2 linked regions of the Bombyx mori genome follow. The protein of the gene in region 1 purifies or fractionates together with the protein of each later gene. This does not show direct contact. Links are inferred from orthologs where the notes say so. Each region holds a gene or a part of one and is shown on either strand. Other genes may lie near its edges. The genes, in order: WW domain-containing oxidoreductase and WW domain-binding protein 2.

Region 1 (3,149 bases):
AATTAAACAAATAGATATGTATGTACAATAATAAAAGCCCAGTCATCGTTCTTGTCGAACCCGTCGGTTGCGACGAAGGGCTCGACGAGTAAATTAACCCTCAGACACAGCCCACTGAGTTTCTCGCCGGATCTTCTCAGTGGGTCGCGTTTCCGATCCGGTGGTAGATTCTGCAAAGTACGGCTCTTGCTAGGGTTCGTGTTCGCAACGTCATTAGGTTTGAGCCCCGTGAGCTCACCTACTAGTTAAGGCGACGCTGATATAGCCTCTCAAGGCTATCAGCTTAGGTAGGAAAAAAAATAAAAAAATAATAATAAAAGATACCATGAAATTCATACACTGAAATTTTCTAATATAAAAATTTTATAAATTTGCAGATGTTAAGCGAAAAATGGAAGGCAAAAGGTATATGCGTGAATTCTCTGCATCCAGGTAATATGGTATCTACAAACTTGAGCAAATCGTGGTGGCTGTATAGATTGGCATTCTTTTTAGTAAGGCCCTTCACTAAATCTTTGGTGAGTAATTTATTTATCTTTTCAAAGAATTTAATGGCAGTCGAGGAAACGGAATGGTAGACATTGCTATGGGCACAACAAAACCTATTGATATTCAAACCACTATACCGTTTGAGATACATGTCTCAACCTCAGGGTAGAAGTTTGAGTTCTGATAGAATAATGCCTGAAATACTGAAAATCAGAACAGTTGAATGAATCTTGGTTGTCATACTAAAAAAAATTACACTTACATGTATGACCAATTGTAAAATAGTAGTGCCAGTACAGGCATTAATACATATAGAACTGATATAATAATAATTATATGCATTTAAATATATATATAAGTTAAGGAGATGCATATTGGGTATGTAAAAAAATGCACATATTATTTGGTTTTGGAACGTTGAGTACACTCGTTGGTACTTCAGGGAACATTTATGCCAGGGTACTGTAGGGCAGGGATGGCCAACTTGATTAAAACCAAGATCAACTGTTTACTGACGAAACACTACAGTCAGCCAATGACATTTCTTGAAATTTAATGAAACAATGTAATTCAGTATACAAATAAGTAGTATATTTTTTATTTATTAAAAAGATTTACATAGAGCTGAAATAATATAATAAAAGAGAACTATTGTGTGGAAGAGAGGATAAATAATGTGACGTAATGGTCATTTACAAATGATACAAGATGAAGATGATGTGTACAGCATTTATATTTTTTGTCTTGTCACGATCGACTCAAGTAATAGCCATGATCGACCGGTCGATCGCGATCTACCGTTTGGCCACCTCTGCTGTAGGGGGGAATGATACCCCGCCACGTTTTTCCCCTACCTATGCTGATAGCCTTGAGAGGCTATTTCAGCTTCTTAACGTGTAGGTGAGCTGACGAGGCTCAAACCGGAGTGTTGCTAACACTAGCCCGGATCGGAAACGTGACCCACTGAGAAGATCCGGCGAAAAACTCAGTGGGCTGTGTCTATGGGTTAACCCCGCCCCGCTTAGCTTTCTAGGCAGTTAGTAGTTAACCCTTATACGTTAGTTAGTCGTTAACGTGTAGCGATCCACCGCGGTCGCTGACGCGAATAAACATATGTTTTATTGACTGACCACTCCGCTGTGGTTTCCCGAGGACAATTCACACAACAATAAATAACCTCACTACAAATCTTACAGTAACATATATGTATTTAAAAGCTTTTTTTTATTGCTTAGATGGGTAGACGAGCTCTCAGCCCACCTGGTGTTAAGTGGTTACTGGAGCCCATAGACATCCATAACGTAAATGCGCCACCCACCTTGAGATATAAGTTCTAAGGTCTCAAGTATAGTTACAACGGCTGCCTTACCCTTCAAACCGAAACGCATTACCGCTTCACGGCAGATATAGGTAGGGTGGTGGTTAGGTACCGCGCGGACTCACAAGAGGTCCTAGCACCAGTAAGAAGAGTTCACGCATTGGGCACAATACGCCCTGCCGTAAACAATTATAATATTTGTCTAGCAACAAGCAGCAGCGACGACTGTCTACGCAGCGACCGCCTCAGAGCTCGAAGGCGTCACAGGATTGTACTTCAACAACTGTTTCTATTGCGAAGAGTCTGCGCTGGCAAGGGACAAAGAAATAGCACAAGCCGTCTACGACATGTCGCTTAGGCTGATCGAAGATATCTCGAAGACATGATCACGGATAATTTGTGAATTATTGTCGTACGTTATAAATAAAGTGAAATCGGGCTTAGTCGTGATACGATTAATGTACGGAATTGTTTTTATAAGGCGAAAGGGATTGACGTCACTTCACATCGTACATTGATGTATCGTAAACTCGAATAAGAAAAAGGGGCAATAAATGTAAAAATATGTTTTTATTTTTTATTTACTTAGATCCCCCGTGCAGACTCAGCAAAAAAAGGTATGTACAGCTATAAATACACCCGTCAAATAATTAAAGCAAATTCCGTAAAATGAAGTGTATGTAATACGCATGTATCAAAATTAAGTACTTTTTCATAATCTTGTTATTTTTGAGGTTTTCGGTTTATGTTCCTCTCTTGATTTTGGCAACAAGAGCGTAAGACCGCCGCATACTGTAATGAGAAAAAAATATATGTTAAAAAGGTCAAAGATTGTTCCAATTGGTGCATAATATGGACTTGTAATTGTCTAATTTTTTCTCTCGACTAAATGACTATAACAGTAAAGTAAAGAATAGTAATTCCCAAGTTTTAATTGAAAAATTTAGCATTATTTTGTGTACGATGTGCTTATTAAAACCCATTCTTTCTTTCTTTTTCACCATCGTTCCGGATCGTGACTCTGCTGTAGTTTTCTCACTGTTTTTCCCCCCCTATTCCTAACCCTTTTCCTGGTAGAGAGTTCGTTGATCTCCGCTGAGAGTAACCTGGTCAGACCATCGCTTTAAGTTTCGGCCTCTGGACGTTTTGTCGGTAAAGATAAGCCTTTCATTAACAATGTTAAGTCTCGCAAAATTGATGAATTTTTTTGGAACGCTGTCTAGGGAATTCTCATCATTCAGAGTCAACACATTTCAAAAGGGTCTATTCGATACTTGCTAGTGGTTCTCAGGTTTCAGACATCTAAGCCATAAAGCAAGACAGGAAAAATTAGCGTTCAAAC
Region 2 (4,541 bases), on another chromosome or scaffold:
AACAAAGCCGCTGGACGTAACTTCTCGGGATCCTCCAAAAAGTCCACTGAAAAAATCTTAGTAAATGACCATAATTTTACTGAGATTTTAATTCATCCTATATCATCTCAATTCATTTCATTTAATTTCATCCCAATTGATTAGTGTCTCAAATTAATCATCTTCATTTCATTTCAGTCCTTAATATCATTTTTCATAAAAATATGAATAATATAAATAAAAATAAAACATGACTTAAAGGTCTCAGTTACCAGGTCATAAAAATCTCTTAAAAAAAAAGTTTAACAGAGTCTAGACGTGCGCTAATCATGTTCGGAACTGGATTGAACATGACATCGTTCTTTTGAGTGTCGGAACTAGTTCCAGTAAACATGTTCGCGGAACTGTTTAGTTCCACGAACATGTTAAGGCTAGTAGCTGTTTGTAGTTTGTAGCTGTTTAGTTCCGCGGACATATTAAGTCTAGTAGCTGTTTGAAGCTGTTTAGTGCCGCGGACATGTTAAGTCTAGTAGCTGTTTGTAGTGTAGCGAATCACGTATTAAGTTATTATTTATTACACAATATTTTTCAAAAAAGGTATTAAAAATACAATTTTTTAAAAGCACTATATAAAAATAGATTGCCGCTTATGGTAATTATTATTGTAATTATTATTTTGTAAGGTTTTTAGTTTAAGGTTCATTGTTACAGCTGGTTGCATAATTTATTAATGTACTCTAATTACTTTGTCATAATTTCAACTACTCTACTACTTTCATTATTTTTCAATGTATTGTACGATGCACCGGAAACTATAACCTATCAGTTGTTAATTAAAATACCACGTTATTCTGATATACAACTTAAATTGAGCTCGTTGTAGCCTTACAACCTTTTTCCCATAACCGAGATACCGAATAGCGAAAGTGGTGAATGTTTTAAAATTCTCTAATTTTGAATTATGATTTTCTAAAAAATGGTCTACAAACACTTAAGGTTAAGTGCTCGTAGGAATGATGCATGGTCAAGGTCAAAATCCATAGCAAAACATTTTAATTTATTCAACTATCGACTGTAACACGTAGGTCGTAGAGCATAACTTCAATATTAATAAAAATGTAATATGAAAGAGCTCCACACGCAGTTTCATGCACTCGCTCCATCTCACTCCCTCGTATTCGTGCCATATGTCGCCTTATCTCTTTACGTGGACTCGTGTCGGTTCGAGACTCGTTCGGGTGGACTCGCCGCGCCACGCCTCCGCGCCGCGCGGTACCTATGCTCTAATCATGTCCGCATGTCCGTCATGTTCAACGCGTTCGTAGTTCCTGCATAACAGTACACTTGGAATGGAAATGGAACTGTCTGAACATGTTAATTTTGACAACTCGGATTGAATGATATAGTTCCATATGAGGACATAGTTCCAGGAACTATTTAGGTCCGGAACTACGCATGTCTAACAGAGTCCCTCTGAACATAGATTATACACTTAATGTATGCTTAATACAATTTGGTGATTACGATTGATTACGATCGTAAATAACGTAATAAAGACACTCGACACAGGATTCGATTCAAATTAAGTTTTTTGAACCTTAGTGGTTAAATGTTATATATAATCAGCACAATAATTGCATTATGTCTTTAAATACCGCTCACGCCGATCACGGAGTTTTGATACACGCAGGGGAATGGTGAGTCATCTTGTTTTCATATTTTCAGAATGTTCTACGCTTAACTGTACCATTCTTTAATCGAAGAAATACTTTGTAGGTATTAAAGTATAAACAAATGTTTCATAGTTATATTAGACTATGCCGCCACATCATTAATTATTATTATAAAAATAATAATAATGGTATAATGAAAAATATGAAAAAAATTAATAACTACTAGCATATAAGCTGTTTATGCGTGGCTCCAGTTACGGAGGTAACATGTCTTGTCTGTTTAATTCAGAATTCATCATGCCCAGATGAAATACGTATATTTAGATAGTATATTCTTGTTAATAGAGATTCCACCTTTGTAAAAACGTTGATGTGGAACATTATAATATGTCATACTTGCTTAGAAATTATTAGTCAACTAATTATGCACTGTCTCTGTCCCAATATATGAGATCATGATCTGTTAATTTTGTCCCAACCCTTCCATAAAGTTCTTTTGTTTGTGTTCATTAACCAAATTTTTTAATAATCTCAAAAGACTCCAAAATTGCAATATAAGTAAGTAACTGTTAAGTTTTTATAACTATAATATAAGAAAAAATTAAATTGGTCATTACTACCATTTTCACAAGCGAGTGTGCCTTCTAAATGACAAAAAAAACAAACAAACAAAGAAAAGTTTAATTTTCTTGATGTGAGTCGACTATTATCAAAGGCGGCAATGTGACTTTTGGACAATTATTGGTAAATCAGAAAAACGAATTATTGACTTTGTATTCCATTGGCAGTTACAAAACTCTTCTGAACGACATCCTAGATAAATAACAGGTTAAGTATTAACCTTTATTTAATGCAGGTTTTGAACCATATTCTTTGAAGGAGACGATTATATTCAAATCAATCTGTATTGACATATCAATAACATTTTTTTGTCCAAATGCACAGATTGCCACCTTTGATAATAGATGACTCATGTGTCGTTTTTGAAACTATTTTGCAAAAAATACTTTTCAATAAACTTTCTTGTTTGTACAAATAAGGCCGACTGGCCTCTTGGTGAAAAAAGGGTTGATTCAATGGATACTTCAGATTAATATAACACTAGATATTATCTTTAGTGGCATATGAAATATTGACAATTTTATCTAGAAGATGATAAAGAATGATTATCATTATATTGATATTTTTTTATTTATTTACTTTACTATTTCAGCATCATCTTGTTTTCTGACAATGTGTCAGTTGAATTCTATGGGAATGATACACCAGAGTTTAAGGGGATCAAGGAGGGACGGATGTACCTCACTACTCATAGAATGATTTACAATTCAAAGAAGAATACAGATGCCATGAGATCATTCAGTTTTCCTTTTATTGCATTGCAAGATGTAAGTAATTTATTTGTTAGATGAAGAACAACATAGGATATGATGACTAAATAAACTACTGCTGAATGCAGTTTGGTTTTTCAGAAATCTGTCTCTTGTCTGTCTTGGCTAAAAAGTTATTAAATATATTCATTGACATGAACTGAGCCAATAAAAAGAAATCAGTACTATTAATAAATAATTATATAGATAAATAGCTAATATTTGATTGTTATGAACCCATTTTAAATTGCAAATTCACTGCAAATGAGTCCATAGTAATAACATAAAATTTATATTATATAAAAGCTTGTTGCAATATTATGCACCAGGGGGAATAGTGTGAATAAGTGGAATCTGTGTTCCCTACAGCTGGAGACTTAATAGAAGCCTGTCTTCAGCAGTATTTCGGGCAATGTTGATGATTATGACGATGTGAATTGATATTGTTTTATAGGTAACTGTGGAACAACCTATGTTCTCTGCCAACTGTATAAAAGGTAAAGTTCGTGCCCAACCTAATGGCAACTTTATTGGTGAGGTCAAATTCAAGCTTACCTTCAAATCAGGAGGTGCTATTGAGTATGGACAAGCCATGTTAAAAGCTGCTCATCTTGGTGAGTAAAAGTAATGCCTACCTAATCATAATTGAATGCGACAAGTCTATATCAGTTACTGAATTCGATTGAAGACTACTGAAGAGTATGTTTACATCACAACCTTGAAATGATGTTGGGTTGTTGTTATTGAAGCAAGAGCTTACCTTCCATGCTATATCACTAAAAGTTATTGAAAGGCCCCTTACCTCAATTTTTAATATTGTATTATAGCTACAATACCAAAAAATTTTATAGTAGACAGCGGTTTGGCTCTGCCCCTGGCATTGCTGAAATCCATGAGCGACGCTAACCATTCTATCTATCTATCTCTTAGGTTTATGGCGTTTCATTTTAGATTTCGCCAATGTCAAGTGTATATAATACTCTGCTTATTCACTATCAGGTAGGCCGTATGCTCGTCTGCCTACATGGGCAAGAAAAAAATAAACAATAAAGTGTATAAAAGTAATAAGATTTGTTAGAATTCATTAAAAAAGACTTAATTATCTATTGATTCTACATATGAGCAATTTCTTCTATATAAAGCAATCCTTGATATGATATCAAATTATGTTTAGCAATATATAATAAATAAAATATAATTTTTTTTAGCTTCTCGTCATATGGCAGCTGGTGCTTCGCCACCTCCTTATACCCCACCGACTGGACCGTGGCAAGCCGCACCACCACCAGCATATGCACCTCCTCCACAAGGATATTATGGATGGGTGCCACCTTATTCTGTACGTCATTCAGTACATTTCTTAACATATAATACATATTAGCTTAATGTCTTATGAACAATATTAGATATCGTCTTTTTGCATTAAAAGTGTACAATTTCCAAAAATATTCGAAATTTAGTTAATTTGCGGAATCATTTGATATGACCAGTATTTTTCTCATAAATACTGTCAAAAAGC

What was found.
Region 2: the proteins of WW domain-containing oxidoreductase (region 1) and WW domain-binding protein 2 purify together in Homo sapiens (affinity purification with mass spectrometry; 3 studies listed by BioGRID and IntAct, with this or other methods). This does not show direct contact. The link is inferred for Bombyx mori from reciprocal best matches to the Homo sapiens genes WWOX and WBP2.

Annotation. Positions count from the first base shown.
Region 1 is NC_085118.1:4,747,652-4,750,800, forward strand, and holds the end of WW domain-containing oxidoreductase, read left to right. Parts: intron 1-377; coding exon 378-518; intron 519-2,013; coding exon 2,014-2,193; 3' UTR 2,194-2,374; downstream 2,375-3,149. Other genes in the region: putative transporter SVOPL, read right to left, coding at 2,520-2,599. UniProt on the Homo sapiens protein: Putative oxidoreductase. Acts as a tumor suppressor and plays a role in apoptosis. Required for normal bone development. May function synergistically with p53/TP53 to control genotoxic stress-induced cell death.
Region 2 is NC_085117.1:14,735,099-14,739,639, reverse strand, and holds the start of WW domain-binding protein 2, read left to right. Parts: upstream 1-1,440; 5' UTR 1,441-1,620; coding exon 1,621-1,676; intron 1,677-2,865; coding exon 2,866-3,040; intron 3,041-3,476; coding exon 3,477-3,636; intron 3,637-4,230; coding exon 4,231-4,361; intron 4,362-4,541. UniProt on the Homo sapiens protein: Acts as a transcriptional coactivator of estrogen and progesterone receptors (ESR1 and PGR) upon hormone activation. In presence of estrogen, binds to ESR1-responsive promoters. Synergizes with YAP1 to enhance PGR activity.